2 linked regions of the Arabidopsis thaliana genome follow. The protein of the gene in region 2 interacts with the protein of the main gene of each other region in a pairwise test. Each region holds a gene or a part of one and is shown on either strand. Other genes may lie near its edges. The genes, in order: AT5G43540 and AT1G02040.

What was found.
Region 1: the proteins of AT1G02040 (region 2) and AT5G43540 interact in a two-hybrid assay, tested with the Arabidopsis thaliana proteins (one large-scale study listed by BioGRID).

What each region holds. Positions count from the first base shown.
Region 1 is NC_003076.8:17,495,012-17,498,214, reverse strand, and holds AT5G43540 (C2H2 and C2HC zinc fingers superfamily protein), read right to left. Parts: upstream 1,361-3,203; 5' UTR 1,223-1,360; coding exon 809-1,222; 3' UTR 521-808; downstream 1-520. Other genes in the region: AT5G43550 (F-box associated ubiquitination effector family protein), read right to left, coding at 1-323.
Region 2 is NC_003070.9:357,258-361,266, forward strand, and holds AT1G02040 (C2H2-type zinc finger family protein), read right to left. Parts: upstream 1,822-4,009; coding exon 847-1,821; 3' UTR 649-846; downstream 1-648. Other genes in the region: LAP6 (Chalcone and stilbene synthase family protein), read right to left, coding at 1,907-2,892, 2,983-3,184; AT1G02060 (Tetratricopeptide repeat (TPR)-like superfamily protein), read right to left, coding at 3,661-4,009.

The sequences.
Region 1 (3,203 bases), on a different chromosome or scaffold from region 2:
TCACAATAGGAGTCATAGCTTACACATGCTAATTTTCCTTTGTAATTTGTAAGGGTTGAATAACATGAGATTGCATTATAATCCTCTGGTGCTTGAATAAACATTATCTTCTCGGATCTAATATTAAATCTAGCTATCTTTGTATGTCCAACACCATAGTATATAGCACTATTGATGCAAATCCCACCTTCTAAGTAGGAGTAAGCATCTCCCGAGATCTCGATCTTTCTCCACGACGATGAGTGTGATGTTAGTGATAAAACCAGATGCTCTTGTTCTATAACGTATTGTCTATGGCCGTCGTCACACTTAAGGAACATCATCACACACAAAATTTTGTATTGATCATCGACAGGATCGTATCCGAGACGTGTGTAGATGTCTCTTCCGTTGGCTTTAACATGGGGCAATACCACCAAACCGCCAGTGGTGGGATTAAAAACCGCAATCCTAGAACCACGGGTGCAGCATATTAATCCGTTTACAGGGGACAGATTTTCTATTTGCCAAATTTTTTTATATATAGAATGCGAAGATCTGGACAATTAATTAATTATGGGACAGATTTCACTATGTTATGGAAAAAAACTATAATGAAAATAATATGATATAAGATAAAAGATTTATATATATCTCATAGATAGATCACAAAACATGCATAAATAAATACCCACCAAAAATATCTTACCTTGACATATTATAGTCTCATATACGCTTTCCTAGATTACATATATCAACCTCGAAAACCATATAATATACACCAAAAAAACGTATTATTATACATCTATAGAGGGTAAGAAGTTGATGATCATAAGCCAAGACGCAGCTCCAAATCGATTTCATTTCCTTCAACGACGACGTTTTCTCTCCTTGTAGCCATCGAGCCGATTCGTAAGTGTTGGATGTAGTTCGAGGTCGTCGTCCTCAACACGACGGAGTCTACTTGCTCGTAGCCTCCAAGGTCAGACGCCACGTGGAAACATCTATGAGTTTGCGAGAGTGCCACGTCAGCATCGTTTTGCACCTTGGCCTTGTTGAGACGGTCACGTCGATGGATGTTCATATGACCACCTAAAGCTTGTGCGTTTGTGAAACCTCTTTTGCAGAAAGTGCACTCGTACATTCGTCTCGTCACGGTGGAGACTGACGACGACGACGTACGACGGTGCCTGACTGCTCCGGTTTCTGATGACGTGGACGACGATGATCTCTCACACTCCATATATATATATATATATGTGTGTGTTGCCTCGATCGATCGAGGGATATATATTTTGAAGAAATATTGATACCCGAAATATAGGACTTTAAGGGAAGATGAAAGATGAAAGAGTTGTCAAATGTGTTGAGTGCATATAAGGATGGTTTATATGATAGAGGAAACAAAATTTATATATAAGACTAATAATACTTTTCTTGATGTGTGTTTATATGTTTGGAAGACATGATTTGGCTTTTTCTTTCTTCGTATATTTATGTACCAATTTTTTCTTATAACTATCACCGTATTTGAAGGATTTATTTATTTATTTATTCTCATGTATTATTTATATCTAGATTATAAATGTAGCCTATTATTAATTATTAACTTGCTAATAATAGAAAGTTTATATAGCTAAATCTAAGAGGCAAAATAAATTTATACCACTAGAAGGTATTGCTCCTCAAAAATTACGTTTAGACCATGTTATTCAATTGGTTCTCTAGTAAATCAGTGAAAAAATATATTTATTTTGTGAGTAGTGATGATCTCACAATTATCTAAAACTTTTACAGTTTTGTTTCCAACAAAAATACACATGTAGAATAAATTATAAGATTATGATTTTTTAATCAGTAAAACAATATTTACTATCGTCTCTAGTAGTTTTGTTTACAATACAATACTCGTATATAAACACAAAGCAACGAACATAAAACAAAATATATATCGAAAGAGACATAACAAATTAAAGATTTGATTATAAATCAGATAAAACCAATCCTCACATTAATCCAGTTAACTGAAATCCAAATCAACTTCAACTAAACTCTTCAATTAGTCCACAAAATTACAAGAAATGATGACAATTAAAAGGCAAGGGAGTGGTTTAAATCAATCGTGTTATTATATTTTAATTTATAAAATATTCCTTTTGTGTTTGTCTTGTAATAATCTAACCTTTTATCGCAAAACGTTTTTAAAAGTTAGGTCTCGATTGACTGCTTACTTTTTCTACTACAAAATATCACAACGATCATTTTTTACTAAAACAAAAACAATATTTTGATGAAAACGAATTATCATAATTCATAAGTCATAAACTTTCAAAAATTTATCAAAGAGATAAAGATAACATAGACATAATAGAGTACAAAACTAAACTTTAGTTTATGGGCTAAAAATAAATATTAGCTTAGGTGATCGTAAATAGTATTTTCTTGATTAAACAGCTCGAAAAAATGAAGATGTCATTTGATTGCAACTCGAGTACACTGATTCGTTTAATTACTGCCACATCATTGATTGATTACGTTACATGTACACCTAATCCGGTTTGTTTGGGTTTGGTCTGCTTTCCATCATTAGTTTAGAATCCTAGTTCCACAACATTCCGCAAAAAGCACCAGTGGTCTAGTGGCATGATAGTACCCTGCCACGGTACAGACCCGGGTTCAATTCCCGGCTGGTGCACTTTTTGTTACTTTAGTGATTTTTTTTTTCCTTTTTTCTTACATTACGTTTCCAGGCTGGATGTTCGTCTCTCTATATAATTTGGTTGCAACCTGCAAATATATTTGTATACACTAGTACTTTTTGATTCATGACTAGATTCATCGGATAGACGAAAATCGACAAAACCTAACATATTTGTTAAGTAGCTTATGTAGATTGTAGCTATATCATACTCATACAATATTTGCATAGGAAAAATCTGGCTTCTGAAATTTGATTATGTAGCTTTGGCAGTGCCGTATTTTACACGTAGTTTGTTACGGAACAATATAAGACAAAATCATTAGAATCTTGCTTGTAGGTTACGGCACTTAGTTTAGTAGTTACTCATCTGCAGAAGCAGAGGAATGGTGAGAAAAACTTGACCAGATTTGTTGCCACATCTTTCTTTGACCCACTGATCTAAACCACTGAAGCTGCTTTTTCCAAACTGGTTTCTTTTTTTTTGTCTGTTTTTCTGATCGTAACTGATGTTTCAAAATTACAT
Region 2 (4,009 bases):
CAAAGAGTCATATACTTTGCTTGAGCTTTTCTCAAAGAGAAATTGGAGGATATCAGTTGACATTAATCAAATTCCCCCCGCTAATCCTAGTTTTCAGCTGATGGTTGGTGGGCTTCCTAAAGTCAAAAGTTCATAACTTGTAATGGCAACCACTCATTAATAACATATATGCGAGATAAAAATGACTCTTTTCTTGTAATCGTATTGAGAGAAATGACCCTTTCCTTGCAATCGGTGCTTAATTAAGAACCACCAAAATTATCAATTCCGTTGAGGCGTTGACTCATGTTCATGTGTTTTCAGTGTAGTAAGAGCCTTTTGATTATTAACATGATTAAAATATATATGGGCATATCACGAGAGTTATTTGATACGTGATATTCGTTTATTTATTTGATATTTTTCTTCTTTGTGATTTCTTAATTTCGAATTTACAATTTCTTTTCTGGAAAACTTCAAAATTATATCTCCTTCTTGATGGCTTAACAAGTAAATTATATCACTCTGTAAGATTACAAACATGAAATTAAAACATTTGCGCTTATATGAGCAAGGAGCCCTTGGTTATCTTACTTTATTCTCAACGTATATAATAATAAAAAATGATACAATTATCTATCTTGTATATTAACTAGTTGTGAAACTTAATTTCTTACTTATATCTTTGTATATATTGGACTAGAACTCCTTATGGCTCTCTAAATCTGCAGAAGACGCCAAGTGTAATTCATATAAATCCATAAACTCTATATATAAACTCATGCACTTAATTGTATATATGTAAAGAATATAAACGAATGAAAGTTAAAAGAATATAATTAGCAACTTAATTAAATTAGTCAGTCGTCAAGACCAATCACCACTTGCGAGTTTTAACCACGAAGATGAAGTAGCGTTGTGATTATTGCCACCACCATCTCTCTCGATCATCCCTACGCTCATGGCCGTTGGATCGACGGAATATTCTTGGCAAGCTAAGTTGAGATCGAGAGATGGTTGATCTAACGGCTGCGGTCTGCCGACGGAATGATGATGATCGTGGAGCGACGTCATACGAAGATAATTGGAAGGTGTTAGCCAATGGCATCGCTTGTGGCCTCCTAAGGCCTGTCCCGAAGAGAAGACGCGATGGCAGATGGTGCATTCGTGAGCGTTGGATCTCTTTCTTGCGATATGAGCCGTTGATTTGTCTTCCTCATCCTCCTCCTCATCTTCGTCCTCGTCGTTGTCGTCGTCGTCTTCTTTGTATTCCTCTTCCTCTTCCTCTTCTTTATCTTGAGAGGCAAAACAACCCTTCACTTTCTTGTGGCTTGCCCTGTGTCCACCCAATGCCTGATGCGACGTGAACACCTTCTTGCAAGCTTTGCATTGGAAAACCTGGGCGGTTTTTTGCTTTTTGACGGTTTTGCCCTTACCATGTCCATGTTGTTTATGCTGATCACCACCATGCGCATCCCCTGAATTGGACAACAAGACAAGACAGTTGGCAAGCTCTTCGTCTTCGTTTGGAGACAAGTTAAGATGATGATGCTGAGTGGACATCGATCTCTCCCTCTTCCACGGAGGACGACGTGACATGTTGTCCTCATCGTGTTGTCCACGACTGAACATTACGAAATCAATGCATGGTGAGTTCATGGCTCCATGCATGTGTGTGTTCAAAGTGTTTTGGTGTGAATTAAAAAGAAGAAAGCCCTTGTTTTTAGTGGAAGTAACGGGTTTGGTGTCTTCTTGTTCATGTGGTTCCAAGTAGCTAAGCACTTGCTTTAACGACACGTGGTGCAACTTTTGACTTTTTCCAACATTCCTAGTCACATGCATCTATTCTATATAGATGTTGTTTAACAAATAATACTCTCATTTCATGCTTACAATATGTTTATAACCCAAATGTAAATTATAACAATTAGGAAGAGGTGAGGCTGCGGATGAGAAGGCCTTCGAAGGTGATTCCAGGTCCGAAAGCTAAGCCAAGTCCCCACTCTTGTGCTGCGTCACCTTTCTTCTTCAGCTCATCTCTCATATACTCCATCACATACAGTATCGTGTTGCTGCTCACGTTCCCGTAATCCACCAACGCCCTTCTGCTGCTCTCCAGCTTCTCTTTCTCCAGCTTCAGTTTTGTCTCCAGACGGTTCAGAATCGCAGGTCCTCCTGGATGAACAGCCCAGAACATGTCATTGAACTCCATCGACTCATCGCCAGCCTTTCCCATCAGCTTCTTGCAGAACTCTTCTATGTTCTCCTCTATCTTCTGCGGGAGGTCTCGTCCAAGCTTGAAGTTTATGCCTTCCTCAGTCAACCTCCCCTCGATCACGTTCTGTGTCCCCGGCAAGAACTGCTGAACCGCATAGTGCAGCTCCATGAAAGGAGCTTCACACTCTCTCGGGTCAGCTCCGATGATCACAGCAGCTGCACCATCTCCAAACAGAGCAGCTCCAACTAGGTCGTACGGACGCGCTTTGTTTGGTGGCCGAAATCCGAGAATGGTGGTTTCAGAGGTTGTGAGCAGAACACGGCTTCCGGGGTTGTTCTCAGCAATGTCTTTGGCCACACGGAGGCCAGTCACACCTCCGTAGCATCCCAGAAAATACAGCATCACTCTGTTCACGTCATTCCTCAGGCCTAGCTTTGCTGAGAGGTAAAGGTCACCACCGGGTAAACGGATCTCGCTTGAGGAAACGTAGACAATGTGAGTGATGTCTTCCACTGGCCTTCCCCATTCCTTGATGCAACCTAAACTGGCTTCCAATGCCATTTCCACAACCGCCTCGTTTGCAATTTCAAGTCTTTGCTTGATTGTTGGTGAACCCTCTGTTGTTAGCTCAGGGTATTTAGCCAGTATCTCTCGCGTCAACACAGTGTATCGCGTCTTCACGGTTGTCGTTTTGCCTAAACAACAGCACAAAACATTAGAAAGCTTTCAGCATTTCACAAGAGAGCATAGCTGTCTGAAAAAAATATAAAGAGACTGAGGCTTACACAAGTGTTCCAGCTTTTCTTTGATAAACGCGTCATCACATTTGGTGTCTCGTAGAAATCCTTCCACTAGATTCTCCTGAGGAACGACTTGGCTTGGGAAGGCTTTGCCAAGAGCAAGCAGTGTTGCCTTTCCGGCATTTGCGACACGCCTTGTGGATTTGCTGCTTAGCTTCTCAACACCATTCATCCTAGAATTCGACATTTCTTTTCAAGCGCAGAAGGAAAAAACTCAATTAGATATTGGGAAGAAAGATGGTGGATGCAGAATATCAGCAAATGGCAAAGGATTATAAAGGAAGGGTTGAGGGTTTTCTTGGGGAGAGTTTGGTGCTGAAGAGTGAAGATCATGTAAAGAGAGAAACGGTTATTTTATTAGGGTTTGGTGATTCTTTGGCCTGTGTTGGTTAGAAATGCAAAAAACACCATGAAACCTATTTTCCCGGGATAAGTAATATAAGCCTAATCTACTTAGGAAATAGGTACCATGAAGGTGAAAGTTAGGAACAGAGAGTTGCAACGTCCATAGAGACCTGTAACAGACACGATGAATACAAACTTGCTTAATTGCTGAGGGCCAAAAATTTTACAATTGCCAATGGATAATTTTAGACACAGAATTGAAAACGGAACAAAGAGAGAGGATCCTGTTTACCAGAAACCAGATGCACGGTCTATCCTTCATTCTAATACAGAGCAATCATCTGATTCTCTCAATGTAGCCATCCTCTTTGACACAAACTGAAGTTCTTCCCACTTTCCAGCAGCCTCTAAGGCATTCCTCAAAACCACGTGGCAGCTAAGCTGTTGGTGGTTTCCTAGTTCTACTAATTCATTGTACAAACTAAACGCTTCAGAGTGTCTCTTATGCTTACAGAGTCCTTCTATGACCGTGTTGCATGTGTCGATATCTACCATTTGACTTTTTTCCAGACAAAACAGAACAAGTGTATGTGCATCAAGTAGTTTTCTATTCTCGCAGAGGTAACCAAGTAATTCCTCCATCTTAACCAAATACCCGTTATCATAA